4 linked regions of the Rhinolophus ferrumequinum genome follow. The protein of the gene in region 3 interacts with the protein of the main gene of each other region in a pairwise test. Links are inferred from orthologs where the notes say so. Each region holds a gene or a part of one and is shown on either strand. Other genes may lie near its edges. The genes, in order: NIF3L1, EIF1AD, BEND7 and EAF1.

Region 1 (7,006 bases), on a different chromosome or scaffold from region 3:
AAGATTCCAGTATATATTTTAGGTTAGAACTACCATTTATATTTTCTCCTTGATATCATTTATTAAGTGTGCAAAAACTTCACAAAAAAAGTATTAATATTTGCTTACTAATAATGTTACCTTGTGTTACTAGAACATATGTATCGAAATTTCCAAGTGTAAACAAGGCATGAGAAAACAGATTTTGAAGCACTGGGGACATACCTTAAGATATTCACTGTATTCATCCTCAAATTTCTTGCCCCAGATACTATTACCTCCTCTTCCGGTACCTATATTACAAGACAAACAGAAGTATCTAATTAAAGTTGAGAAAGGGTTTATTTTCTAAAACTTAAGGGCTGGTTTACAGTGTAACTCTTTGAATACAAATAAAATTTAGTATGTCCTCTCTTACTTCCCAAAATTTCACTTTACAAACCAGAAAAATAAAGTATCTGTAGAAAAAATAAAAATGCTCCTTATTAGTACTATTCATATTTTAGGGCTAGGTGCTAGTAGCTTCAGCTTAAAAATTGCTTGCTATTGTAAGGTAGCCCAGTTATAAAAACTCCACATGCTTTTATTTTCCTACTCTTTGTCTACCCTCTTCTTCTCACTATAGACCCAATTCCCTAGCTATTAATGGAGTAACTTACCTGTAGGATCTCCTGTTTGAACCATGAAACCCTTGATATTCCTATGAAATATACAGCCATTGTAGTAATTACTGGCACAGAGAGCCAAGAAATTCTGAAGAGAGTAAAAACAATGATTGAGAAATCATGTAGCAGAAACAAATTTAAGATATAAAACTAATTGTATTTACTGAAAACACTATAACAGCATATTTAAACTATGTTTTTTAGGCATTACTTTGGATAATGTTGCTTCCCTGACTAAAACACTTTAATGGCTTCCTTCAGTTCTTGAAATAAAATACAAAATCCTCAGCAGGGCCTAATAAGCTCTGCATGAGCTGGTCCAACTCTACATCTTATATGATAATAACCCCATCCCTGTTGCTTACTATGTTAACCCCATCAGTCTCCTGAAAATTCATCCAAAAGAGGTAGGCTTTCCCACTTTGAGGCATTTGTATCTGCTATCTCTATATCTGGAATGTTCTTTTTATATATCTTTCCATGGAGATGCCTTCATTACCTTTCACACTCAGTTTAAGTATCACTTTCTTGGGTAGGCCTGCCCTCACCTTCTTTTAAATAATTCCTTTCCCCATTATCCTCTATCTTAACATTTTATTTCCTTCAAGGCATTATCACCCTCTAGAATTACTTTTTTTTTTTGAGAATGAGCCCTCCCACCCCACCCCACCCTTACTCTGGCCTATTTTCCCACCTAGAATAGTATCTTCACAAGGGCAAGGAATGTTTCTTGTTCATCACTTTATTCCAAGACACTGTCAAGATAGCCTTTTATAAATAATTGTTGAATAAATAAATATATAAAGCTGACTCTTCTTCGTTCTATCCTTGTCATTTAAACAAGTGAGATAATGTAAGGAACAGTTTTCTTACCTGATATTTCATGATTATTTATGTTTCCTGAGGAAAATGAGCCAAAAGAAAAAGATACCAGCCACTCTATGGTTAGAGAAAAATTATCTACACTTTCTTTGATCCACTTTTGACATCAAGAAAGTTTAAGTTGAAATTAGGCCAGAAATTATGATGGCTGGCTTTACCTGACAATGGTTTTATAGAAAAGGTTTTTGGCTATTTATTGTTGGTTATTTTTGAATCGTTCAATTTCAAAATAGTTATCTGCTGCATTAACTCTTTTTTTTTTTTTTTTGGTACATAATGATACTCACTTCACATGTTTTGGGTGTCCTCTCACAGAAGACTTCTATTTTAATATCACCTACATCTGTATGCAGTGTCACCGACTAAAAAGGAGAGAGAATGTGAGAAAAACAGATTTCTTCAGGTGACTTTATGCACTGTATGATTTCTCTAACTAGATATTAAAGATGACAGCCTAAATAAAAACAGATAGAAATACTGTTTCAGAGATGACCTGTCCACATAGAAGCTCTGGGAGATAAGTTATATTTCTTCAAAATTTACTTCTGCAGTAGGAAAAAAACTCCAGAAGATAAATATAAAGTTTAGGGTAAAATAGCACCTATGCTAAAAACTGGGGAGCAAATATTGTGATGGAAATAATTATTTTAAGTTTCAATTTTTCATCAATAAAAACAATTGTAATATTAGTATTATTGATTTAAATGGCATTCACTAACATCACGGACATTTACTGAACAATAGTAAGAAAATGAATTTCAAAATATAGTTTCCACCATTTCCCTTATGTAATTTACTTATGAGATGCAGAGCTAAAAAACAATTTCTTTCTCAACTAAAGACAAGACGTAAAAAGTGTCAGTGTTTCTAGATTGTAAATGTGCAAAGGTAACCATAGTACTCTGCATGCTTGCTTTTTGTTTGTTTTACCTGTTATTTTGGTAGCTTGAATATTCCTTTTGTTACCCCATTCCAGAAAGAAGGAAATGTATTTTGGGGCTTCCTTTTTCATTTCTATTCTTGTTAATAGTATCTAGCATTCAGAAAGTATGCCCAGGTTGAAAATAGAGAGGAGTGTGTGTGCCTGTTGAGAGCACCGGGTGGGGTGGGAGTGGGGCAGGACATTATTTTCATTGTTTTTCACCTACTTATAGCTCTAGCTGCTCGCTCACCTTAGATACAGAGAAAAGCTTCCAATTATAATGATCACACCTAGCTATATCCTTCTGCTCCTCCTACTCACCTTTTTCATCTCTATATCTTGTAGTCAATCTTTTTTCCACAAAATATAAATTGTGTGTTTTAAGTGAAAACAAAAACAATTTAAAAGTAATTTTGCTTACTTCTGGTTTTGTTTAGAATATTTTCAGTGTATGATTCTACAGCTTACCACTTTTCTTTGTCTTCTTATTGAAATTTCCATGCCGTTTTATTTCCCTTGACTAAATTTCTAAAAATTACTTACAATGAAAGATATTCATAAGAATTCTATAAAACTTACCATTTTTCTTACTGTTACTTAATTTCTCACAGTCTTATTGAGAGAAGTTCGAAAACAAATCTCTATTACCAAAAGAAAAAAGAATTAAGTTGATTTGTCTCTCTTACCTCACTCATGCTCACGTTTACTGCATACTTAAAAGTCTCGAAGAGCACCTCCCAAGAAATAAAAATCCGATTATGGAAGTGATGAGGAATTCCGACTCAAGCCCCTCAACCTCCTACTTCCCCTACTCACTGTTCTTCAAGAGCCTCCTTGCAAGTCCTTCAACAAGCCGACTTGGGGCCTAGAAATTGGCTGCTCCCTTCGCCTGGAACGCTTACACTCAGGCATCTATACGGCTATTTTCTTCAGCCTCCAAGTCTGTGCTCAAAAGGCAGGTCTCATTGACTTGATAACTCTATTTAAAAATGCCTTAACCCTAGTACCTGTCCTATTTTCTTTTCTCCATAGCACTTATAACTAATATACCATATACTTCATTAATTTATTAAGTCTGCCGTTTCCCGCCCAGAATGCTCACTCTAAGCAGCCTAAGAACTAAAACACACTGCTCTGCAAGCATTTAAATAAGTTAATGAAAGAATGAGCGCGTTACCCCATACTTACTTAACCACTTCGATTAACACAACTGTAGCTAAAACAGGAAAGATGCAATCGCAGATACCTCCGCCAGGTCTCTAAATTGAAAATTAGTATCTTTCAGCCACCGGAAGTCGAGCGTGGGACACATTCGAGAGAACGCCCCTAATGAGCTTGCCTCCTTCCTCCCCTCTCCTCCCTGTCTCAAACCCAAATGTCTAAAACTAGGGAGACAATGTAACTTACCCCTACCTGAAACACTTTTGACAGTGAAAAGGAGCTCTTTTAATAGTTATATTAGGACGAGACACGTAGCCCGGAACTATTATGGGCAGCAATCCTTGGACTCAGAGGTAAAAATGGGAAGGACCACTTCCTCCTGATTCCCTTGCCTCACTTATTCCCACAGGCCGGAAGTCCCGCACGGGACCGGAAGTGACGCACGAAGAGTGTTCCAGGACTGGTGAGTTTTCAGCGACTTAAATCCCGGCGGACTTAGGTTCTTGTGGCATGAGGCTGTTGTGTGCAAAGTGCAACGACAGGGGTCCAAGAGGTGATAGAGGCAGAAAACTGGCTTGCAGTATGAGAGCGTAGGGCACTAGTGGGGCAGGAGTCCAGATTCAACGAGTTACTGGCTGTGCCAAGGGCTCTTTCTTGTCCTGGGAGAGGCCTGAAGTGGGACGGAAGTGAAGGGTAGATGAGGTAACTTAAGGTGTAGTTTGCAGGCTGTATAGTGGGACTTACTAATGTTACTAAACACGGGTCAAGTATTGTTTCCAGCTTTACGGTTAAATCTTGAGGCAACCCTATGAGCTGGGCATTTATTTCCATTCTTTAGCGGTGGAAACCACAGAGGTTAAGTAACGTTACACAGCGGTAGCTTTGGGAGTCTGTCAGTCTGATTTCAGAGTCGTGCTCTTACCCACCATGCTCTGCCGCCTCCCATTATTAATTGTGGCATCAAGCTACGCAGAGTTGCAGTTTCCTAATCTGTGAAATGGCGACGGGAGAGGGGAGGTGGGTGTCTGTTATTTCCAAGTGCTCTTTCATAAGTAACAGTAGATAACTCAACGGGGGCTGGCCCACTAGAGCTTCACTTTTGCACTTGCCAGATTTAGAAGAGTCTGGAGAATGGAGAACTATCAGGATGTGGAATGTGCAGAGTGGAAGTGGTATTATAAGGACCTGAGAAGATCTTCCAGTACCCCAGGCTTGAGTGGTTAATGGAGGCGCCCCATCACTTCAAATCCTATATTGAAGTACTACTCACATCTCAAATATTTTTGCTGTAGAAATGTTGCCCCAAATCTGCTTTTGAAATCATTGGGTTGTGAATATTAAATTTACAATTGGCTATGCTTTCTTGTTAATTATTGGGCATACAATGAAATGCTTTTCTTAAAAAACAAAAGTGTTTACGGTTATTAATTTAAGAATGGAGTTGACAATGTTATCTTTTGTATTGGATATGGTTGTCTTAGAAGGCTTACAGACTCTGGGCAAAGTGCCCTCCACCTTCACCTCTTGAGCCTGGCCTTCCTGTAGCAGGTGTTGGTTCAGGGGCAGCAGCTCCTGCCCTTTGAGTACTTTTCAATGCCAATATATACCACCCTAACTCCCAAGTTCTGCTGTGATGGGGGAGGGGGATTGTGTACATCTGTACAGTAAGCATCTAGTGCTGGCCTATGTTGGTGATACTGAGACGTATGAAAGATAGTTCCTATGCTCCTGTAGTATTAGCATACTGGGGAGACAAACAGGAATATAATATTATGAGAATACCAGGGCAGAGCGGGGTGGGGCAGGGAGTAGGGAGACACTGAAAAGAAAGGTTTGTCAAAAAAAGCTTTATTTAGGAAGTTGAAAGGAACTTGGAAGATAGGGTAATATTTAGAGAAATGGAGAAGGGAGGAGAGTGGTGGAAGCTAGGGTGGGGAGAACAAGAACAGGGGTGTGGTGGGGGCCGGAGAGGAGGGGATGAACATTTGTGTATTATGTACCAGTCTTGTGCTAGTTGACTTACACATATTAATACATGTGCTCCTCCAGATGGCCTGTGAAGGTTGTAGTATTTCCATTTTGTAGATGAGGAAACAAGTTCAGAGAGGTTACATGACTTACCCAAGATAATATGTGTAGCGCAGGGGATCCTGCCGCCTACGCCAAGTGTCGTGCGGAGCATCCGGCGGGGTCTCTGGTCCCACTACCCACACAAAAACGCAGGATATGGCTAGGCCAAAAAGGAACACCCACGGAGCCATAAGTAGGGGAGTCATATCTCTATACTCTCGCTGGCGGCTGGGTTGGAGAAACAGGAACCAGGAGCCACACAATTCTCAACCCTCACTGCGCCGCTTGCAGGCTCAGCCACCATCTTCTTGCTAGCTCCCCCCTTTTTCTGCTAGCCTAGCCACGGCAGTTATATTCGTGGCCAATGGCTCACTGGTTACAGCTGACGGCCAACTAGCCACAGCTGCTGGCCATTTGATCACAGTCGATGGCCATTTACTACCTGAGCCAGCACCTTTCTATGTGAGGCTGAGAGCCTGGAAACTGCTTTTTGGGGCTCTGTCCCCACAACATGTAAGTGCAGAGCCAGTATTTGAACCTAGGTATGTATGACTGTAGCTCTTTTGCTCATATGCTTTATTGCCTCAAAAGTCTGGGCCTAAAGTGTACATGTGTATCATTTTCTGTTCTGACTTCAGATACTCAGTTTTACCTGATTTCTGTATGTTGTCATCTCGTGTACACCTGGTCCGCACGACAGTTCGGCTAGTTCATTCCCTGATCTGCAATTCTTCCTGTTCCTTCATGGATTTGAAGGCTCTCCTTTCCTCCTTGAATGATTTTGCATCCCTGTCGTTTGCTGAGAGTTGGGACAATGTTGGATTACTGGTGGAACCAAGCCCGCCACATACTGTAAACACACTCTTTCTGACCAATGACTTGACCGAGGAAGTGATGGAGGAAGCTCTGCAAAAGAAGGCTGATCTCATTCTCTCCTACCATCCACCTATTTTCCAACCTATGAAGCGCATAACCTGGAAAACCTGGAAGGAGCGCCTGGTGATTCGGGCTCTGGAGAACAGAGTCGCTATTTACTCACCTCACACAGCCTATGACGCTGCACCCCAGGGAGTCAACAGCTGGTTGGCTAAAGGGCTTGGTCAGAAGCCTCTTCTTTTATGTTTAATATTTTCCTTATACATGCTTTGAAATTTTAGAATGTCTTTCTAATAGAGTTTTAACTGCTTTAGGGGTGGGACCATTCTATTTTTACATAATATATTTAAAAATAATGTTGCTAAAATCTGGCAATTAAATTGCATTTGAAAAATAAAATTTTTATGATTAATGAGTAAGGAAAGCATAGGGAATCTTCGTTGCTGGACTG
Region 2 (7,937 bases), on a different chromosome or scaffold from region 3:
GAAAGTCCCCTGTAGGTAGAGAGGAGAAAAGGTCGAGTCAGTTCAGCTTGCACTGGGGGAAGCCAAGGTCACTGGAAGTGGTTCTGTGTCTTAGACGGCTCTCTCACCTCTCTTGATCCAGATGTTCTTGCGGTATTTGGAGGGCATGCTCACCAGGAAGCACTGCCCCTGGGCTGTCTCCACCTCGTGCAGATTGTTCCCTGGGGTTCTGAGTACCTGGTCCAGGAGAGACCAAGAACCAGTCGGCCTCATCAGCTAGCTCAAAGACCCCCTGCGCCACCCTGCACTCTTCCCCCACCCCAGGGCCCAACGGGAGTGGAGGGGTGGGGGACGGAGTAGCTTGTGCCCAATGCTACTCACCCTCACGATCTGCTGCTTCTCGGAGGGTACCATGTGCTCCCCCTGCACCTCCTTCACCACGTGCTTCCTCTTGGTGGCCCGAGACATGTTGGGTCCTGTTCCGGGAGGTGAGGGACGCAGAGGCTGTCAACTCCTGCTCCTGAGTTTCTTGGATGGCAGGTTCAGAACCCAGGACTGTTTTGAAGATGGGGAGGGACTTTTTACTGGGGAGTGACACAGTGTCCTGGTTAAGAACGTGGGCTCTAACATCTAATTGCTTGAACTGAAATCCTACCTTGACTATTTCCTGTGGACGAAAAAAAGGGGTTCCATGGAAACAGAGTAACCTGATCATAAATTCAGAAATGAGCAGGTCATGATGGGTGGTCACACCCCAGGCATATAACTTCTTTAGTCAAAGGTTTTTAAGCCAGCCAAGTAATACCCCTCTAAAGCACGACCACCCTCAAAGATAGCACATAATCTTATTAACTACTCTGCAACCCAATCCCTGCCCTGCTTTCTCCCATCCTCAAGTCATCTTCCTTAGACCCCTCCTCCTTACTTTCTAAGGCATAAAACAAACTGCAAAACTATTATTCTCCAGAGCATTTTAGATCTTGCTTGCTAGCATAGGTCATCGGTTTGGCTCAAACTCTTATAAAAATTCTCCATGGTGATATGGGAGAGCCCCTCACTACAGAAATTTTAAGTCTCCTTTTCCCTAGTTTCTTAGCTCCTTAGCCCCGGGTTTTGATTACTCTTCTGATCAGTTTTTGAATCCTAGACTAAAGAGTGCTCCTCGCCTGAATCAGAGAATGTCTCTTAAAAGCCTATGACTTCCCAACATCCTCCAAGCCATTCCAGACCCCCCAGGCCAGTATACTTGTTAATTGTAATCAGTGAAGCCTAAGGTTCTTTTCAACCCATTCTGGGCCCAGCTCCTGGACAACTGATGCCACCTAAATGGTTGAATGGCCACAGGCTCCATAGTGCTAATGGATTTATTAATTAAAATCTATTTTTCCTCATTCAGGGGCTTTGGGGATACAGAGGATACCCCAGCAAGATTGCCAGTCGCAACCAAAGAAGCCAACATGGTCTTCCAGGCAGGTCCCGAGACCCCTTCCTCTCACCTGAGATCAGACAGGGCGAGAGTTCCGTGAATCCCCCAATAGGTAGGGACAGATCTTCGCCCCCGTCCAGCAGGAAGCAGATACAGAAAAAAAGACCTTCTGTCCCTCAACTTCCCATAGAGTTTTTATGGGGATCATGTCTCTCAAGGGGAAAACAAGGCACGCAGTTAGAGCTAGGCATCAGGTCTCTGCATCCCTGAACAGAATGCGACTGCCCAGAAGACCTCCCCTCTCCGCCCAAAACTTCCCCTTTTCATTGTAATTATCTGCGCCTATGAGGAACAAATGGGTACAAAATACCCAACTAGATTAAACCAGCCCCTCACTCCTGAGCAGCAAAGACCACAATTTCACCTGGGCCTCATTATCCCATCATTATAATATCATACATACGCCTGGGAGTTCATTAATATCATTATAACAGACTGAATTCTGGGAAAGAACATGCACAGTCTAAAAAGATGAGGTAATAGCCTCTTGTCAATCACAGGTGTCAATCAAGTGGTCCCACTCCCGCAAAGGAACTGCCCATTCTAGAGGGAAAAAAGGATAAAAACTCCAAGTCCTCCCAGTCAGGCCCTTTTTGATCCTGGGCCCTTAGCCCTTTGGGCCTTTGAGCCGGGGTCCTTTTTTGAGTCTCTTCTTTTGCTCAGCCCGCTCCACACTCTTTGGAGTGTACTATCCCTTTTCTTAATGGTCCTTGAGCCACTGCTTTCTGCTCGGCCCGCTTCTATTTCCTTGGAGAGTACTATCTCTTCTAATAAATTGCTTTTCCACCACTTGATCACGGTATCTCGTTCAATTCTTTGTTCCAGATGCCAAGAACCTGGACACCCTCCGGTAACTATGGGTTTGGACGTTCTTACATTGACATTCCTTACTGTTTAACTTTCCCAAGCCACAAAGAAAAATAACAGCTAACCCAGAACATTGTCATTACGATGCAATGATGTGAGCAACGCACTTAGCACAGTGTACGGCAGATAAAAATAAGTCATGTTGTCTTAAGTACTGGCATAACATAAAAACTAAATAAATCACTCTGGCAACCGTTCACGGAGGAGTGTGAGATAAACTATCTTCCTCAATATGCTTGTACATCCCAAATACAGCACAGCCATACAACACAGATACTCACTTCAACAGACTACAGACAAGAGACCAGTTTGGAGACCACCGAGATGGTCCAAGCCAGGAACGAGTTCATTAAAGGTCGAGGAAAGCCGGCGTGGTCTGCGGCATCTGCTATGTTTCTGACGGGTTCTGAGAAAACAAGAATTGGCACCACCAAGACTGGTGGTTTCTAAAGGAAACTCCGCGTGTCACCTCAGGTTGCCTTTTCCTGCCCTCCTCCCTCCCTATCCCGGAGGTAAGACGCGCACAGACCCCACACTTACTTTCTGGCCCTCTTCTCCCAAAGGCGTTGCTTGAACGATTCCGTTCTTCAGGCTGGACGCTCGCTGGGAGCGGCTCGTCCACGACTCACTTCGTAGAAAAGGAACTTGCCGGCGATCACGACGGTAGCGTCAACTTGGACACAGATCTCCGGAGTCTCCAGCTCCTGCCGGACTCGTACAAGTCCCACAGCGGTGAGGGCGACACGAATCGGCCTGAGTCGGACCCTTCCGAGTACGGTACTTCCGGCGGCCTCTCGGAAGCCTTCGGCCACGCTCCTCCCTCCTTGTCCGTTCCTTTAACTCTTCCCACCCCCAGATCGCCAAAGGCTAAGTCCTTGAGTTCCGGATGCCGTGCAGCGGGGAAATAAAGTTTTCTCCACCGAAGCCTCTGCTCCTTGAGACCGGAAGTACTTCTGGAGAAGCGAGACAATAGAAGGCAGCCCGGTTTCCCGCGAAGCGACCGGAAAGGAGCCCCTTCTAAGGCCGCCGTGAGGTCCAGGGAGCCTCATCTCTATGGCTCTGAGTGGCTAGAAGTGCCACATTTTTTAAGTGGCTCTTGAGGCGACCCGGAAGCGGAAGTAGAAGAACGTTCTAGTGAGTTGAGGTATCGGCGGGAGCAGCCGGGCGGTAGGAGTATCCGTTACGGGAGCTGAAGCTGCCGGTGAGCGCGCGCTGCACAGCAGGGCTTGGACTGGAGGCAGAGGAGGCGCGAGAAGGAGGGAAGCCGTAAGCGCCACGGCCAGCCAGAGAATGCGCCCTCGGAGAGGGCTTGGCGGCCCGGCGAGGAGGGGCGGGACGCGGCGCGCGGGCGCGGCGGCGCGTGGAGGAGGCGGGGCGACGCGTCTCGGGGGCGGGGCCTTCGAGGCGCGGCGGGAGCCCAGACGTGAACCTGGTGGGGCTGGGGCACTGAGCTGGGGTGTGCGCTCTGGCCCGTGCCTGTGCTCTCTGAGCAGCCAATTGGGGCGGGTGGGGCAGGGGGACCCTTTGTTTGCTTTTCTGGCTGGATAGCCCTTCCAGGCAGAGTCAGTACCTCCTTTGCCCAGCCAAGGTCACAGAGGGAGTGACACCTTCAGGGCGAGTTCTGGCTACTGACCGGCCTGCGCCACCTGATAGGGCAGGATAGTCTTTCCTCTGGGGCAATACCAAAACCCCGTTCCCGCAGGGAGTGAGAGAGATTTCTCTCTTGAGTAGTGGGAAAAACTTGCCTTGGACCTCAGTTTTCTCATCCGTGAAATGAGGGGAATCGAATAACCCACCATAATCGCTGGTCTAGCTTCCTTTAAATATGATATTGCCAGTGGGCCTTTGGGAGTTCCCGGGTTTTCAGTCCTAACCTACCTTTTCTTGGGATTCGTAGATAAATCCTGATCAAGATGACAACATCCCAAAAGCATCGAGACTTCGTGGCAGAGCCCATGGGGGAAAAGCCAGTGGGGAGCCTGGCCGGGATTGGTGAAGTCCTGGGCAAGAAGCTGGAGGAAAGGGGCTTTGACAAGGTGTGCGGAGGCTGCATGCAGCTGGGGAGGGCTGGGGGTGGCAGACTACAGTATTGCCTGGCAGTTTGGGAGCGAGGAAAGTGAGTGTATCTGGTGGGGGAGGACCGTGGTATATAATCTGAAGAGGTAGCCAGAGCCTGCCCTGCCTCCTAGGCTCATGTGCTCTGAATGCCACAGGAGTGGCCTTGTTCTTAGTCCCACAGGGCACTGAATAGCATGCCTTTTATTTTGCCTGTTTTGCAGGCGTATGTGGTCCTTGGCCAGTTTCTGGTGCTTAAGAAAGATGAAGACCTCTTCCGGGAATGGCTAAAGGACACGTGTGGCGCCAATGCCAAGCAGTCCCGGGACTGCTTCGGGTGCCTCCGAGAGTGGTGCGATGCCTTCTTGTGATGCACTCTGGGGAGCCCCCAGTCCCTAGCCCCAGCCTTGAGTCTCCAGAGTTTGCAGCCGAGTGGGGGCTCCTCCCCTGCCCTGTACAAAGGATTGATGTCTGCTCAGCCTGCAGTGTCATCCAGGGTCTTCAGGGAGTTCTCTCCCCTTACCATTTCAACTTTTTCAGAAGTTCTTCGTTTTGCATGCATCTCTCTTCTCTCCCCTGCCAATTTCATGTTGATAATTACCAGCTTTTCTGAGTGGATTCCTGGCCCCTTCCCTCACCCACACCCTCCTCGCCGGTCTGTTTTATGCCATTTGGCTTCTCTTTTGGCAGAATAGTCGTTGTCCTTACAAAGTTTTTTAAATCAATAAAGTTAGTGGCCTTCAGGACTGGGTTTTGTGCGTTGAAAAACAGATGGGCTGGGAGTCGCCTCTTCCCCAGGGGCTGATCAGGTCTGTCACACTCCTTATCAGTGCCAGTCGAAACTGGCAGCTTCCTCCGTACACCGGAGGGCAGCCACCCTAGCCACATAAGCCTCAGGCAGGTGCCTCAAGAGTGCCTCAATCCCGTAGTAACATGGGAGAGAGTGTGGGTTGGTCCCTTCCTGGGATCCAGGTGTGCTGTGCCATTCCCGATGTCAGCTGAGTCAGTAGCTGAGCTAGCCGGCACCTGGTGGAAAAGGAAGTGGGAGTCAGAGGTACCAGGAAGAGGGGGACGGAATGTGGGTAAAAGTTCACCTGCTAATCATCATGTGCTTTCCTGGCCTTTGGGAGGAGTGGGCAGGGCTCTTGCGGTCTGGGAGGCAGAGAGAGCATGGGATCACAGCTGAGGGCGAGTTACACTTTTATCTGGTACATTTTCATCCTATTTTTGATTGCACGCTTAGTGAACCAGCCCCACAGCTAAGATCTTTATCAATATTTTTTTCTTCCACAGTAAAGAATTGTTTTCTCTTTTACAGGTGAGGAAACCAGGGACTCAGAGAGACTGGACTTTCTGCTAGGAAGTGCCCCCATTGGCTCTCAAAATAACTTAGAAGCCCATATACCTGAGAGCCCTGTGTTCTTTGGTCATATCCTTCAGCCTCTCTGAGCCTCAGTTTCCCCACTTGGAAAATGAGATGGTTGTAAGGATCAGATGAAATGCTAACTGTGCAGCACCCAGCCCTGCTTGGCTTTCAGTCTTTTGAGTGGGGCCTCGCTGAGGAACTGCTGCGTAAAGGGCGTTCCTCAGAGGGCTCCCAGTCTGGTGAGGACAGACCGACACACATTAAATACAAACATTGGGGTAACAGGAGAAGATTTTCCTGACTTCAGGGTAGGGAAAAATTAAGAAGAAAAAGTTGATACATTTAACTCCATTAGTAGAAACTCCATCTAAAGATACCATAAAGAGAGTGACAGACAAAACTGACTGAGAGTGGGAAAGGATATTTGTAACACATACGTGACAAGGTACTATATCCAGAGTATATAACATAACTGCAGTGAAGAAAAGCAAACAAAACAATTACATTAGTAATCAGAAATGCAAATGAGGTGTTATTATACACTCACTGGATTGGCAGAAATTTTAAGCCAGACAATACCAAGTGATGAGGAAATGGAGCAACAGGAACTGATACCCAGCTGGTGGGAATGGCGATTGGTCTAAACACTTGGGAAAAACAGTTGGGTGTTTTCTATAACTGAACACCCACCCTGTGAGCCAGCTATTCCACTGCCCTGGAGCTATGACCGAGGACACTCGCACACCTGCTCCAGCACCGACGGGAGCCTTCAGAGCTGCTTTTTTTCTAACAGCCCCAACTGGAAGAGCTCTGATGGCTGTCAGTACCCGGGGAAATGAATTCACAACAGCTGTGGGACAAAGGTGACACTCAATACTGAGCAAACATCAAAATATACACGTAAAGTCAGGTCAGTTGTTGCTTAGGGATCTCTAGATAGGTGGTAAAACGAGAAAGAGCAAGGAAATGGGTTATTGCAAATGTCAACAATGATTGCCTTTGGGAGTGGGACGTGGGTATGGTGAGCAGGACAGCCTGGGGGCGGGAGTGGCAGTTTCCATTTCTTGACCTGTGTGGTGGTAGTACAGGTGTCAACTGATAAAGGGAACAGAAGTGTTCTGTGTACTTGACGTTAGCTCCGTCTCAATAGAAGAAGGAAGATAAAAGGGAAACCAAAGTAAAGACCTGGGTATAGAGCGATTATACGAGTAACTGGAAACTATGGTGGTTATTAGTACAGATGAGGGTTCCGAGCAAGGTTGGGTCTGGGAAGTTGAGTGGCTCCCTTGGAAGGGCACCAGGTAGCCAGAGCAGGGCCCGGCTTGTGTTACAGGCCACCTCCTGGGAGGGTGCCAGTCTGCAGCCCAGACCGAGATGGTAATGCAGACTGTCCCAGGAGTTTCAGGCCTACCTATGTTTCTGATGTTTTCCTGGATGGGTCCAGGGTCACTTCAGAGTCCCCTCAGCTTTGACTCTTGTGCTGTGATGCTGTCACACAGGCCTGGTGTGCTTTGGGGGGCTCCCCCACCCCAGCCCTGACGCTGCCAGATTGTTGCTGGCACTCTGAGGTAATGGAGACTGGTTCCTCCTCCACAGCGCCCTTCCCAGGGTCCTGCCCACGCTAGTTGTCCAGTTTTGCCGCCCATGGCTCTGGCACCGAGGCCTGCCTGCCAGAACCCTGTGGGACACACTGCCTGCTCTGCTTCCATGTCACGGGCTCTTCTCTGCCTCACCCACACGCTTTGAGGAAGCTGGAGCCTGCTTTCTCACCTCCCTCGGTGCTCAGGCAGTACCGGTGACAGGTTGGAAAGGCCTGAACCCTTTATCTTGGCCCCTGCGTGCACCCCGCACAGCTTCCTGGATCAGTCCTGGAACAGCAGAAGACAAAGGGCATGCTGAATGTACCCTGAGACAGTGTGGCCTCTCAGAGATCCAACCCCAACTCAGCCAGTAGGACAAAGGGCCCCAGGCCTACGATATTGGAGAAAGCAGACAGGTGGGGATGTGTAGATACCAGGTTATCTAAATGTCAGCCCATGTTACCCAACAGGACGTGCTTGGCAAGGCGTATGGGTGGGCCTGAAAGTCAGCAAATATTGACCCAAAGTCATTGTCCAGCCCTCCCCCGCTGCTGCACCCAGCCAGAGCTTGACCCCCCTCAGCCACTCTACTCATGAGTGCTCA
Region 3 (7,822 bases):
AAAGGTGAAGGGACATTATAATAAGACAGCGTATTAATCCTCTATCCCACCCAAGGCAGAAGCAAAACCAAACAAATAGCAGCTTCCTGGAAATTGAATTTCTGTTATCCAGATGTCAAAGATGTAATACCCCAATTACACAAACTATTGCCAGTGAAGCATGCCAGCAAATATGCAAAGTAAATGGGGTGAACGCAGAGCGACAAAAATGCACCGTCAGCATCTGGCTCTGGGAGTGAGTGATAATTAGCACTGTGTGTAGACACTAATAAACATTTATGTCTGAAATTACAACTTTTAGCAATGTTAATACGGGATATATTGGCAATCTGTGAAATAAAAGGTATTGAAAAGAATGTCATACATTAAGGAATGGCTGACATTTCCCGTTCTGGAACAACCCCTTCCCTCCTGCCCCATCCACCCCCCCCAATTGCAAATGGCCACGCTGTTTTGCTGAGAATTTAATTGACATAGGAACCTACCTAAAAAAATGGGTTGTGTCTCTTTGGCCTCCCCATTGACATCGTTGCTGAATTCTGAAATCTTATATACCTCATGGTGATAATCTGGGACGAGAAAACAACCAAAAATTAGAATTCTAATGGCCTGCAAGATATGAATAAGCAATAAAGACTAGAATCTCATTATATATATTATGGATAACCGACACTTTAACTTGTGAATATTCTTTTCCAGGACTCGGTCAGTCATAGAATTTGTAGTCACTGAGAATCCCTAAAACTTTGCTTACTCTGACTAAAGAAGTACACAAACTTGAAATATCACTTTGACTTTAGCTTTGTTTGATCACCCGGTTTTCACAGTAAATTTGGCCCACAGATGCCAATTATTAGGCTTCTTTTCTTTCAAATCACAAAGATGTTTATAAGGAAAAGAAACCTTGCCCAATCATAGGCCAGGGGAGGATTCCAAATTTATCTCCACAACCCATTTTCATGAGCATATAACAGTATGCTTTAGAGTTACGTGGCACTCTCAGTTTACCCAGAAAAGTCCCCACCTTTAAGTAGCTTACAGGCAATCACACTGGAAAAATACTGATTTGTCGTTTCAAATATAGTATAATTTGGATAAGAAAGCAAGATTCTCATCTTTTACACAAGTGACTCTTCTGCATTCAGCTACTGCACTTTAATATGCAGTAGTTTATTTTCTAAAAATGCACCTGCAGTGCAGAGAGAAGAATCAGACCCATAATTTCGTGGGGGAAAAAAACAACAGAAAAACTTGCTATGTTGGTCAAACTTTAAAAATACAGTATTTTATAAGCTTCTCTATAGAGGCTACTGTGCTTTGGCAATCTATTTCTAAAATGTAGGATTGCCTAGGTAAGAAAATAGAGGTTCCTTCTTAACAACTATTACATTTTTTTTTTTGGACTTGGACCTCTCAGGACAAAGTCTACAGAACTACTCTCACTTTTAAGATAAAGTAGTAAGTTCCCTGAGGTCATACATAAAAGAGCAGCTCACATTCCTGAATGAATCAGATAGACCCATAAGCCAGTCACAAATGGAGGAAGAGATATTTAAAGTACAAATGACTGAGTAATCAACAGTGCTTGGGAAAATGAACATAGGTAAAGGAAAGGGGCAAATATTTTGAATACGTAAAACTATTTCAGGTCTCTTTCATTGAAACAGTGTCAAACTAAATCAGGGGAAACAGATATGAGTTGATCTTTAAAATGTCTATAATAAAACCATTTTCAGACTAAGCTAAAGCAGGCTTTATTGAATCTACATCATACCGGTAGTTGTAGTTTAGCTTAGCTTGAAATACTCTATTACTTGGAACTGCTCTCTAATTTTCATCTGCTTACTACATGTGACTTCTCCAGGTTGTTAAAACAATTGCCTTGTTCGCTACTCTGATTCCATAGCTAGACAAAGCAAAAAGTGGACAGGTTCTGTGGTTTGGTTTTGACCTCAAGTTGTTTTAAAGAAGGTATTTCAACAGGATGGTTCTAAACTCAATATTAGGACTTGTGACATTACCACGAAAAAAAGTCACCTGCCTGTCATTTAAGGTGACACAATGCATTTTGATAAACATATCTTTACGTCTGCTCTTAACTTCTGACCGTTTTTTTAAAAATAGTCACATCAGGAAAATAAAGACTAACAAGTAACTGAACACAGACTGTTCAACTGATGACACTATCCAACTTGGTGTACACCTGTTAAATCGTCTGGAACTGGCTGGATCTTTATTTTTTAAATAATACTTTGACTGCTAAGTGATCTATTCTGAAACACCTTTCCAAATAACGTATCTAGAAAAGATGCTGGATGTCAACAATTCTTACGTGGGCTTGTACGCCTCATGAGCTTCTTTCTCATTCTTAAAAGAACCATCACCACCTTTTTTGTTTCTCTTTGGGGAGGGAAAAAAAAACACAAAACAAAAATAAAAACGAAAAACCCAAGACCACAACCATTGGTCGGGATGATGTGTCCACACGGCCTGGTGGAAAGGCAGTTCTCCCCCCAGCCCCCAACCTGGCCACAGGAGTGGAATACCAAAGAGGGCTCTCTGCTCCCCAAGTGTCATTGTTTGCTAATTTCCTTAGTGCCCTGCGACTTGTTTACGCGGAACAACAACCTCCTGCCTTCCCCCGGCACAACTTTGCTCGCCGCCCGGCGTGTGCGGCCATGGCCCGCCTCGGCAGGGGACTCGGGGGTCCCGGAGCCCCGGAGCGGGACGAGCCGCCAGGACGCGGGCCGCGCGCGGGGCTGTTTACGCGGCGCCACGTCCTTCCCCGCCGCCCGGCCCGGCACCGCTTACCTCGGCTCACCAGTTTGAAGCTCTGGGATTTCCTGCTCCTCTTCCTCTCGGAGAACTCCATGGTGCGGGCAGGAGGCGGGAGGCAGGGCTGCGGCCGGGCGGAGGGAGCGGCAGCCGAGGCGGCGGCGGTGGCGGCGGCGTTCGCTCTTGTCAACCGGCCGCGGGAGCGCCGGGACCAAGGTCCGTCTCTGGAATCCGCAGGGGGGAGGCCGAGGGAAGGGAAGAACCACCTCGAACCCGCTCGGGGGCTGCGGCGCGCGGGGCTCGGCAGGAGGTGCTTTCCCGGGAGAAGTTGCCCCCTCCCGGCCGCCGCCTCCGGGTCCCCTCCACACGCCCCCCGACCCCGGCTCCTTCCCGGCTTCTGGGAAAACGCGGCCGGAGCCGAACTTTCCGTTGGGGAGCGAGTTGGGGGCGGGGAGGGCGGGCCGGGGCCGCGGGCGCCCCGGGATGTCGCCGCGGGCCGGCCTGGGCGCAGCTCCGGACGCGGCGGCGGTGGCGAGCGCGGCCCCGGGGACGCGGCGGGCGGGCGGCGGGCGGGCCGGGTCGGGGCGCTGGCCACCCCCGCGGGAGGAGGGGCACCGGGAGGAGGCGGCGCCGCCGGGACCCCAGGGCCACCTGCTGGCGGAGCGCGGCCGCCGCCATCCCTGGGGGCCCCGGCAGCCGCCACCCACCGGCCTGGCCGCGCGCGCCTCGAAGAGGAGCCGGAGGCCGCAGCGCCCTCGGCCGAGCCCGGCCGGCCTTCCCCCAGGCTCCTTAGGCCGGCGCCGCGGGGGTCGAGGAGTCGGGGCGCCGCTCCCCACCGGCCTCTGGCCGCCGCTTCCTGGGGCGGATCTTGTCATAAATCGTCCTGGGTATCGGGGACCCTCCTGGCCAGCCCCTCCTTGACTTGAGATCCAGGATGTCCAAGGGCCAGACTCACTGGTTTTAGGCAAGTTTTAGGAAACACAAATACCCAAAACTTACCCATCTGCGCTCTGCAAGGAAACGAAGAGATTTTAGAATTTACTGGTGAGAAGTGTATTGAAAGTGAGCTTCAATTTGTTACCCCAATACAAGGAGGGATGTAGGAAGATCCGGAGTGATATTTAAGGAGAGAACTTGGAATGTGGGACTCCGAGGGGGTGAAAGGATGAGGGGTGCGATGTCAGTGGGTGTTTGATCCCTCCGCTGCCTCTTAGGGAAGAAGAGGCAGGGACAGGGGGACTCTGCCACTTGATGTAGTAGTGCCAAAATAATTGACATAAACAGAATACTTTTATTACTTTTATATAATATTCTTGTCTGGGGAGCTAAGAGCACCCCATTTCCTTCTCACAACATCTTTAGGTTGGGGATGGAAAAGAATTTTACACCACCTGGGAATGGCAGTACAGGATCTGACATGCTTTAAAGGACCTCTCCAAACTGATCATTTCTAGACTCAAATACAGAGAGTAAAAAGATGGACAACCCATTCAGCACTGGCAGATTCAGGTGGCCCCAAAAGAGTAGAGAGGAATAAGGGGAAAGGGTATCTTGATAAATGTAGTAAGTTCTATGGTGGGCCTCACTCAAATGAGGTGACAGCCACTCAGGGTTCACTCTTACTGAGCAGGGACATAACAGAGTAGGACAATTTTCAGGAAGGGGGATGTTGGAGGCAACTAGCATAAACATACGCACACTGGGAAACAAAACCAAGGAACAAGGTAGACAACCACGTAGTAGAAGCAGGGCCTGGTACACATCCTGAGGTCTTAGGCAGTGAGGCTTAAGGGGGAGCAAGTGGGGAGGCGGGTTATGCCTGGCAGGTATCAGGAGAATTGTTCATTCAGTTCACTCAAGCAAACCCTTAAACAAGAGGTTCTTAGCCTTTTTGGTCACTATCTCCTTTAAAATTATGTTCAAACATCAAGGCCCTTTTCCCAGAAAATATGTTTAGGACAAACAAAATTTTGTCTAGATTTTTTAGACCTCCTTGGAGCTCTAAAAGGTGGTATAAGGGATGAAAGTGATAACAGGGATTAATTCAACTACTTTCTTTTGTTCTCTTCTATTTTTTCCCTCTCTCTTGCCTTAAAACCAAGCAGTTAAAAACCCAAAGATGTTTTGAGTGTTTCTAAAGAAACAAAGCGTATGATTTTGTTCCCCAGGCTAGGACCCTTTCCTTTTTCTTTTTTTGTAATTTTTTTTTTTTTAATGTTAGTCCAAAAACCACAAGGCTGAGTACTATGCCAACTGAACATTTAAGATCAATCATTCATGCCTTGGAGCATAAAATGAGATTTTATTATGTTTAAACTATGATGAAATGATTGAAGTTGCCATACCAAGAAGCAAATTCCTAGGGGAGATATTAACAACTTAGCATATTCAGTTCAAGTGGGAATATGAATTCTATTTACTAAAGAAACCATTTTTGATATAGTTAAGAAAATATTTCAAAGTAATCATGTTTTTAAGTAATAATCATTTTCCTTGACTCTTTTTCCTGGCTCTCCAAAGATGGTCTATGAGCCAGTTCAGCACCAGAGGCCGTAGGTCAGGTCTGTCCTGTTAACACATAGAGAAAATCAACAAATATTTATTCTCCATGTGATGCAAATCATCATGCCGTTGTATAACAAAAATGTATATATTCACAATTAACATTAAATAAAGATTAATTATTTAATGAAAAGAGATTGCTTTAAGGGGTAGGTATCTGTATTTGTTGCTTGAGCTGCCATAACCAAAGACAATAGACTGGGTAGCTTAAACAATAGAAATTTATTTTCTCATAGTTCTGAAGGGCAGAAAAAGAGTTCTGATCTCTTTCTCTTCTTACAATGCACTAATCCCATCATCAGTGTCCCATCCTCATGACCTCTTCTAAACCTAGTTACCTCCCAAAGGCCCCACCTCTAAATACCATCACGTTGGGAGTTAGGGCTTCAACATGAATTTTCGAGGGACACAATTCAGTCCATATCAGTATTATTTTTGGTTAATTGAATACTGTTTTTGTGTTGGGTTGTCCTGGGAAGTCCTGTAGGAGATGGAGTAAGGTAATCTCCCTTTATAGTTCAAAGCCCTCAAAAGTTTTAGAACTTCAGCTTTACATGTTATTAAATATTCATGTCAATATATATATAAAATATTCTGTGACTTCATGTAAGCATAACATCTTATCATATGGCCATTTCTAAACTCAGTTGTTTATAAAGATTAAATGAAGGTTTTAATCTTGGAGAAAAATTTGGCCAGAAAACATTAGGTGATCTTAACCCCAATTCTTAAAACTCTTGTCTTAAAAAGAATAGCATTGTAAAAATTTCCACCTTTATTTAGAGATCTGCTGTCCAATAGAAATGTAATTCTAGCCATATATAGAGTTTTAAAGTTTTCTAATAGCCATATTAAAAAAGAGTAAAAATAAACAAGTTAAATTCATTTTAATAACATATCTTACTTAACCCAGTATATTTAAAATATTATCATTTTGACATGTAATCAATATAAAATATCAATGAGATGGTTCACATTTTTTGTATGAAGTTTTGAAAATGATGTGGTTTTTACACTTAGAGGACAAATCAATCCAGATCAGCCAAATTTCAAGTGTTCAATAGCTACATGTGGCCAGTGGCTACCATATTGGACAGCTCAGATTGAGAAGGACTCTGATTTGAGCCATATGCATAGATATGACTACAATCAGATTATTGTTTAATTGTTTTATCAATAACCCTCAAAAAGCAGGAGATAAACCATATGGTATTATTGGGCTTGGTGCTGTTTGTAAATCTTTGATTGGAGTCTCTGGAATTGAAAATCCTGTGACTAAGTAGATTTGGGGCGACTTCAGGAAGATTTAATACGTATACATAGTAACTTTTCAGTTTTATAACAGTTGCCCATCAGAAGGCTGATGGAAAGAATAGGCAGCTCTACTTTAGTCCCAATATGTCACTTTGTTGCTATCCTAACTCAAGTTTCCACTTTCATTTATTTTATGGGTTTCAACAATTGTAATTTAAAAGAAAGAGAAGTAGTATTTATAAGAGATTATTTAAGTGAAAATGAGATCCTGGAATACTCTACAAATAATATTACCTTATATTTATATGAGGCTTCTCTTATAGGAGCACAAGGATATTTATACATTATCTAATTCTCTTAATTTATATGAGGTTGGTAGATACTAATATTCCAGTTTTGCAAATGAGGAAAGTCAGTTTTCATAAGACCATTTTTTTAGTGAAACTCGAATGGCATGGTGGGTTCCTCACTATCTTAAATGGGATGCATTAACCTTAACACCTTTCTGTCCTTCTTTAACGTAAATTTTAATGTTTTTTCTTATTAATTCTAACTCACATACAGTAAAGAGCATAAACCTTAAGTGTACAGCTCAATCAGTTTCTTTCACTTGTGTATATATATCCATGTAATGCTCCCTTCCCCCAGATTAAGATAGAGAACATTTCTAGCATACCAGCAGGCTCCCCTGTTTGCTGACAGCATATAACTCCCCCCAAAAGCCACAATTCTAACTATAGTTTGGTTTTGCCTGTTCTTGAACTTCTGTATAAATGGAATCATACAGTACGTACTGTTTTCTGTCAGGCTTCTTTTGCTCAACATTACGTCTGTAAGATTCACTCACGTTGTTGACTACAATAGTAGTTCATTCTTTTTCATTGCTGTATATTATTTCATTATAGAAATATACCACACATTTTAATTCATTCTACTGTCAGTGGATATTCTTGTTTGTTTTAGTTCATGCCTTTTAATGGACATAAGCCCACTTACTCTTGTGTATAAATTCATGAGTAGAATATTTGAATTATAGCATACATATACGTTTAGCTTTAGGAGATACTGTGGAGTAATTTTTCTAAGTAGTTGTACCAGTTTAGACCCCCACCAGCAGTGTATGAGAGTTCTCGCTATTCCATATCATCAACAACACCTGATGCATCATCAGGGGTGTATTGTAGATGATTGTGATTTTGATGTACGTGCCCCAATTCACCAAGCATTTTCA
Region 4 (7,424 bases), on a different chromosome or scaffold from region 3:
ATCTCCCTAAAGCCGGGGGAGGGATGGGACAGAAAAGCACTATTCCTGGAGAGGCAGAGATACTTGTGAAGTCCACACCCCCGAGACACAGGCGGACTATGCAGTTCAAAACCCGATAATCAGAACATTAGAGAACAATCCCTTCTCCCATACTCTCCCACAAGTCTCCAGTGATAATAGTGGCCTGCAGCTGGAGAAGCTGCCAAGAGATAGACTCTTTATGGGGAAGAGCCCAAGGGGAAGATCCAAAGCTAAGGGGAGAGACAAAAACAGTCACCAGAGGAGACTGAAGTCTGTGGTACCCATAGCAGCAATAAACCTCACAGCTAACTATAGCAACAACAGACCTCAAACACAGCCCGACTATCTAGATTACAAATCCTTATTACCTCAGTATCAACTGCCCTATATAACATATCTAGCTCTCAACAACAACAAAAAAAAACCACGGCATACCAAAATACAATAAAAAAAGTCTGAAGGGAAAAAGCAATCATCACAACCAGACTCAAATATGACACAAACGATGGAATTTAAAAAGTTTGGGCATTTAAAATAACTGATTAATATGTTAAAGGCTCAAATAAAAAAGGTGGACTACATGCTAGATCAGATAGGTAATTTCAGCACAGAAAGAGAGACTACAAAAAGAATCAACTGGAAATGCTAAAAAATCAAAAACATAGTAACGGAAATGAAGAATGCTTTGACAGGCTCATTAATAGGAATGCCTATTGCCTATGAAGGAATCAATGAACTTGGTGACAGGGCAACAGAAATTATACAAACTGAAAATACAAAGAGAAAAGAAGTTTAAAAAAACAAAAAAGCAAAACAACATCCAAGAGTTGTGGTACAATAGCAAATGGTATAACATACATGTAATTGGAATCCTAGGGGAAGAGAGAATAGAGCTGAAGAAATATGTGAAAAAATAATGACAAAAATTTTTCCAAATTAATAAATATAAAAAGAATATGTGATTATATAACTCCTAAACAAGACATAAAACCTTAGCACCTCAAAAGGAACAGACTAATAAATTCAAATTTGATAATTTAAATCCTATCATAGAACAATATCATAAAACAATGTTGAATAAACTATACTTAATCCCAGTGCTTACAACACTCATTGGCACACATTAGGCTCCCAATAAATATATGTGGAATAAAGGAACTCACAAGCAGAAAAAAACCCAAACTAATGCTTATTTACATATTATAAAGACTTCAACTTCACTGGTTATAAGAAATAAACAAATTAAAATATGGAGACATTTTATTTTGCCCATAAGATTGGGAGAAATAAAGACTGACATCAAATGTTGAGGGCATAGAGAAAAAGTTATCTTTATGTTATTGGTGAAATTATAAATTGGTATAATATTCTGGAAGGAAACTGGGCATTATCTATTAAAATTTAAATATGTATACTCTTTCTCCGAGGAATTCTATTTCTTCCATTATTCACCATAGAGACACGTGTACACATGTTTTGTAGAGCACGTGCACAATGGTGATTACGTTAACCTTACTTATAAGAGCAGAAAGTTAGAAACAATTTAAATAAATATCAACAGGGTAATTGTTAAAATATGATATATCCATTCTACGGAATACTGCAGCAGGTAAATAAAATGTAGTAGACCTATATATACAAAGAGGAAACACTGCAAGACATAATGTAGAGTGAGAAAAGTTAAGTTACAGTACAATGTGACTGCACTATTAAAAAGTCTAACGGATGCCAAAAATGTGAAGGGCTGATGGAAAACTAGATATCTGCATGCTGCCAATAAAGGGTAAGTAGATCTTGATTAAATACAGCTATAAAAGATACCTGGGACTATTTGGGGAAATCTGAATTGAGTACTAATGGCATTAGGGGATTACAATTAGTTTTGTTAGATGTAAGTATTTTGTGGTCAGTTAGAGAAAACCCTTATTGAAGACGTATGCAGGCATATTTAGCAGTGAAGTGTCTGTAATTTACTTTAAAATGGTTCAGGAAAGAAAAAAGTCTATAAAACAAATGTGGAAAAATACTGGAAATCATTAAATCTGGGTATAAGTATATAGTGTCATTATGGTATTTCTACTTTTCTGAATAAAGCTGTTTCTATAATGTGTTATATATGTATGTAAACAGGAAAACTATAACATGTTTATGGTGATCACAGCTGCTTAGCTTCAGGGAGAGGTCTGGAATTGGACAAATGGGTATAGAGGGCAGGTCAAACAAGTCCAACAAAACAATCATAAAATACCAGGATGGTGCACCAACCTTGACATATTCAACTGCTCTTGGAGAAAAATCACAGGCATAAGCAAAGATATTCAGATCTTCTTCTAAAAGCGGGAATAGACAGTTCCCAACCCCACAGCCAGCTTCAAGCATAGTCAATTTCTGACCTTCAAACTGAGAAAAGAGAACTCAAAGTTAGAGGACACTATATTTGCATAATGAAGAAACAAATCAAATTAAAAGGTCCAGAACATGAAAGGTCTCTGCCTCCTGGAGCAGACAATAAACAAGTAAACTGATATCCAAAAGCTAATACAGATATCTCAATTTGTCATCCAACATGGGGCAATTTGGTGTGGAGAAAACAGGATAATGGCTAAGAGAACAGGCTCAGGGGTTAAACTGCTTGCATTCAATCCAGACTCCTTCCTTCACCCGTGTTCTATCATTGGACAAATCACTTAAATAACCTTTCCCTCAATTTTATCAATAAGGGGATAATACTAATGCCTACTTCACAGTTCTATTATAAGGCTTAAATTACAAAACACATGAAAAGTTCTAGAAAAGGGTCATGGTAAAGTGTTTATCATCATCATCATTAATGAATCTGAATCTGTCACTGAAGTCACTTTGTATAAATTTAATATTTACAACTTTCAGATTAGCTTTAAAGAAACAGAAATGCCCATTCAAGTTCTTTCTCCTACGTATTATACAACCCAGGAACTGCTAAAACTACTTGAGACCAAACAGAGTATTTCTAAGGTACAAAGCATTCTGACAGGCTTCATAAATTCTCTACCTCACACTTCCATAAAAATGCAAGAAAGCACTTCTCTTCTACATATTTTAAACGAAGAACAGCTCAAATAAGGTGTAACATTACCTCCCTACATGATCTGAGCTCCTGAAACTCTCGGGTGGTCCAGTGTCTATCTTTGAAGAAATTCGTACTATTTCTTTTGTAAAAAAGGTCCCAGTTCTTCTGAGCCTCTTTTTCCAGTTTTTGCTGTTTAAAGTCAGACACTAAAACTTGGTCTCTTTTCAGTTTCTCCTCTTCTTCAGAGCTGAGAATCCTTGCCTGAAGCCCTTCCCTTTGCAAAGATGCCATCTCTTGGGGAAATGGTAATGGAGTTAACACTGCTGAAGATGCTCCATCCCTGAATAATTTGAGGAATCCAAGCTGAATCTGCAGCTGCAGGCGGGGTTTTCTTAGATGTGGTTCCTCAGGCTGGGTTCAAGCCTCCGGGAGCATTTCTGCTTCGCAGGAAAAAGAATGAGATTTTGGTTAGTAATTTTAGAGCAGTTCTTTAAGATACTGAGTTAGTGGTTCTACAACATTCCTTTCACCCAAAAGTTCAATATACCAAACGTTTACTAGTGCTGACTCTACACAAAACCCTGCCCATTATAGGAGAGGTCACAAAGAAGAGCAAGACAAAGCGCCTACCTTCAGAGGACTTACGTTCATTGGCCCTGGACTCGCCTGCACCGAACACTAATTCAAACCAGACTAAGTCATCTATTATAATAAATCGGTTTAGTTTAGAAAAAGGATACTGCCAAGAACTCGTTGGGAAACCCTGGAGGGAAAATACTCATTAATTTTCGGTGCGCCTCTGAAAAGGGTGACTCTACAACCGCAACAGGTGCCTGAACTGGAGGAGGGTGGTTAACTGCCAGACAGAAGTGGGGGTCATGGTTTCCCAAGGATCGGAGACGCAGTTTTTTTCGGGGAAGATGGAACTACTACGTTCGGGTGGCCTGAATCTCTGATCGCACTCACAAGAAACTGCCTCAAACCAGCGGGGGAGTCGCTTTCCAGGCCTTCGCACCGCCATCACGGCGCGAAGGGAAGGAAGAGACTGCGTGACGCGCGGTGTAGGGTCATCTGTCTCGGGACACTCGGGATAAACCAGGCCGACCCGGCCGCCAGGGCCTGAGGAGAGCTGGCCAGGCCAGCTATCAGACGCGCGTTAATCTAGTCAGCGGCGCTCTGGGCGCACTGTCATCAGCTCCTAGACTCAACTGGAGGGGTACTTAGTGTCAGGCGCATTCAGCCCTCCGCCAGGCCCCTACCTCGGAAGCAGAATTTGGGAGCCGCCGCGCCAAACCCGCGTCTGAACTAACCAGCGCTGAGCAGCTCAGACTCCCGGCGGAATTCTATTGCTATGGCACCGCCCCCGCCACTTCCGCTACGAACCCAGAAGTCCCTCCCCGACGCCGGAAGTCCCGAGGCCTTGCTTCCTCAGGGGCTTCCCCCACCCCGACGCGGAGACTTGCTTCCGGCCCTGGGTGGGCGCCGGCGGCATTCCCGGTGCGCTCCGGAGCGGTGTCACGGGAGCACCGTACTCCCGGACGCCGGTGCCGGAAGCTCAGATCGCGGCCGTACTTGGGTAGCGCCGGGCCGGGCGCGAGGCCCGTGTGGGGCCATGAACGGGACCGTAAACCCGCTGCTGGACCGCGAGGAACACTGCCTGCGGCTGGGGGAGAGCTTCGAGAAGCGACCGCGAGCCTCCTTCCACACCATTCGCTGTAAGTCAGCGCTCTCCACGTGTCCCTTCGGCTTCCCCAGCCTCCCGGTGCCAACCTCGGATCCCTCCTCTCTTCCCTCGGCCCTCCACTGTACAGAGAAGCCCCTGCCTACGTCAGCTCCCTTCTCTCCTACCCCGGGTCCTCCAGGACCTCGATTTTCCCCTTTTGATCCTCCAGGACCTCGATGTCCCCCCTTTGGCCCCCAGCTTACTCTTCCCAAACCAGACCCTTCGTCACTGTCAACTATTCTTGTGTCTCAAGGTCCCAAACACTTGTTCCGAAGTCCATTGGCCCTTCTCTCTTTTCATGCCCCCACCCACCCTTCCTGCCAAACCCTCTTTGTTACCGAAAGAGTGTGACCCCACATCGGACTCCAGTGCTCCCTCGAATCCATCCCCCGCCCCTTCTGATGCCCCCACCCAGGTTCTCCACGTTTAAAGGACTCTTCCTGTTTGCTCGGGAGCCTCATCCTCTCCCTTCTATTCCATTCTCTTCTTCCCTGTTTTTCCTCAGCTTCCTTTCCTCGTCCGTCTTTACTCGGGGCACCCCGACAGGCTGCGCTTCATCCCCTCTTGCAGCCAAAGAATCCACATCCTCTCTGCGCCCCATCAGAGCGTTCCTCTTACAGCTTCCTGCACCTCGTTTGACTTTTGATGTCTTTTGAGGTCACTTCTACGACCCTGACTTTAACTCAGGCCCTGGTCCCTTGTGGATGAAGAATAAAATTAGCATTTGTGAGCCTGGAATAAGTTAAAGCTTGATCTATGTCTGGAGGCCGAAGAGAGTAGACACACAGACTATCGCAATCGCCATGAATGCTGGACCTTCCTTTTTCTACGGGATTATAGACTGTTGAGGAAGGAAGGGCACGTCTACTCTGTCCCGGGGGAAGATTGGCTTTTATGAGCTGACGGAGCATCCGTGATTCACAACTCCTGGTTTCCTGTCTCGGTAGTGCTAACGCTGGTTAAGACTTGTTTTTGTCAAAGGAGCTAATAGATGTGACTCAACACATTGCAAGAGGGCGTTAGATAATGATGTTCCATCTTTGTGTGGTGGCTCTGCCTTGCCATTACGATGATTCCTACTGGAAACATCAGCTCTCTTAGAGGGAAGATACTGGGAATGTGATAAGAGCTTCATTTCCTGAGCAGTTTACTAAGTTGATGTTTTAGCAAAGTGAAGGGCAATGTAGAATTTAAATGAGACACTTCACATATGCATCTGGCCTGCGTTTTGAGGCAGGTGTGTGTTACAATGGATGGAGTAAGATGGCCATTCATGTTGTACTTGAACTGCAATTCAGAAACATGGGCAGGACTAACCTGTGGAGACAGTTCAACCATCTACTCTGAACATCTGCAGGAGTATCTTTGTGTGGCACATCCTAATTTTGACAGTTCCTATGCAAAATGACATCAGCTTATATGATGCTGTGGCATTTCATGTAGAGTTTTACAATCACAGAATCTTATTAATATGCTGTTGCTTTTGAGCCTCACAACAACCCTAACAAAACACTTTATTGTGGATAATAAGCATTCATTTTCATCTGTCACTGGGGAGAAGGGAATATCTTTGTTTAATAAAGTGGTATGTAAATTCTAGATTTTTTTTCCCTTCAAAATAATCCAGTTGGGGGTTGGGAGGAAAAGTATATCAGGGTATAGATGAAACAAGATTGTCCCTGAGTTGGTAATTATTAAAGCTGGGTGATGATGGTACACCGAGTTTCGTTGTAATGTCTCTGCTTTTGTGAAGTTTTCCACAGTAAAATAGGTTTTTTTTAATATTCTAAATTATTTGTACTTTCTATTTATCTGAGTAATAAAAAAAAATATTTCTTAAATGAGCACACCCAGAAAGTCCTTAGTATAAGTAACCTGGTGGATAAATGCTATTTTTCCTTTCCCTTTAGATGATTTTAAGCCAGCATCTATAGATACTTCCTGTGAAGGAGAGCTTCAGGTTGGCAAAGGAGATGAAGTCACAATTACGCTGCCACATATCCCTGTGAGTTTATTCCATTGTTGTTGTCTTTTTAAATGTAGAATCACTGTGAATCCTCATATTTCATGTTATTACAATTTGAATTTCCTACTGTTTAAAACTTTCTAAAGTGCCAACAGAAGGAAAAAGGAGATTTGGGGTATAGCCTGGAGTGGAATTCATGCTTCCCAGGTGCTTGATTAAATATTATTCTTGTTGCCATTTTCCCCACACTCCCTTTCCCCCCATTTGCTACAAAGTAGACAAGGATCCTACCTGGGCACCTAGCCCCTCTTTTAGACATAGAGAAAAGCCCTAGGTGCCATGCTGATATATAGCAATGACAATTTAGGAGAGTGGGGCTGCCAAACCAAGAGTTAAGTTAAGGCGGGTAGGAGTAGGATTTACTTATTTCATATATCTGGCAGAGGGTGAAGTGTAGGCCGATCATTTCAGGCACGAACCAGAGGTTCAGAGCATTCAGCTAGTTGAACAATGCAGAACTTAGTTAAAAGCTGAACTGAGAACCTTTGCAGAGAGAGGCTTTTGTAAAGCCTTGCCCAAGGCAGCACTCTGATCACAAAGCCCGAAGGATTAGACAGAATTCTCTTAGCGAACATGTGTCATTCATTGCATGTCACAACCCTGTC

Evidence for each region.
Region 1: the proteins of BEND7 (region 3) and NIF3L1 interact in binary tests that used the Homo sapiens proteins (3 or more experiments, as listed by UniProt). The two-hybrid records come from large-scale screens. The link is inferred for Rhinolophus ferrumequinum from reciprocal best matches to the Homo sapiens genes BEND7 and NIF3L1.
Region 2: the proteins of BEND7 (region 3) and EIF1AD interact in binary tests that used the Homo sapiens proteins (3 or more experiments, as listed by UniProt). The two-hybrid records come from large-scale screens. The link is inferred for Rhinolophus ferrumequinum from reciprocal best matches to the Homo sapiens genes BEND7 and EIF1AD.
Region 4: the proteins of BEND7 (region 3) and EAF1 interact in binary tests that used the Homo sapiens proteins (3 or more experiments, as listed by UniProt). The two-hybrid records come from large-scale screens. The link is inferred for Rhinolophus ferrumequinum from reciprocal best matches to the Homo sapiens genes BEND7 and EAF1.

What each region holds. Positions count from the first base shown.
Region 1 is NC_046291.1:30,355,915-30,362,920, reverse strand, and holds the start of NIF3L1 (NIF3-like protein 1), read left to right. Parts: upstream 1-4,006; 5' UTR 4,007-4,072; intron 4,073-4,721; exon of another isoform or gene 4,722-4,868; intron 4,869-6,095; exon of another isoform or gene 6,096-6,221; intron 6,222-6,317; 5' UTR 6,318-6,342; coding exon 6,343-6,778; intron 6,779-7,006. Other genes in the region: PPIL3 (peptidyl-prolyl cis-trans isomerase-like 3), read right to left, coding at 205-272, 639-732, 1,814-1,888, 3,135-3,143. UniProt on the Homo sapiens protein: May function as a transcriptional corepressor through its interaction with COPS2, negatively regulating the expression of genes involved in neuronal differentiation.
Region 2 is NC_046294.1:5,843,921-5,851,857, reverse strand, and holds the start of EIF1AD (probable RNA-binding protein EIF1AD), read right to left. Parts: upstream 3,015-7,937; 5' UTR 2,873-3,014; intron 2,739-2,872; 5' UTR 2,614-2,738; intron 564-2,613; exon of another isoform or gene 456-563; 5' UTR 448-455; coding exon 361-447; intron 217-360; coding exon 108-216; intron 10-107; coding exon 1-9. Other genes in the region: BANF1 (barrier-to-autointegration factor), read left to right, coding at 4,246-4,368, 4,612-4,758.
Region 3 is NW_022680355.1:355,383-363,204, forward strand, and holds the start of BEND7 (BEN domain-containing protein 7), read right to left. Parts: upstream 3,010-7,822; 5' UTR 2,873-3,009; coding exon 2,812-2,872; intron 570-2,811; coding exon 486-569; intron 1-485.
Region 4 is NC_046300.1:31,205,263-31,212,686, reverse strand, and holds the start of EAF1 (ELL-associated factor 1), read left to right. Parts: upstream 1-4,406; 5' UTR 4,407-4,421; coding exon 4,422-4,785; intron 4,786-6,703; coding exon 6,704-6,798; intron 6,799-7,424. Other genes in the region: tRNA N(3)-methylcytidine methyltransferase METTL6, read right to left, coding at 2,287-2,421, 3,137-3,361. UniProt on the Homo sapiens protein: Acts as a transcriptional transactivator of ELL and ELL2 elongation activities.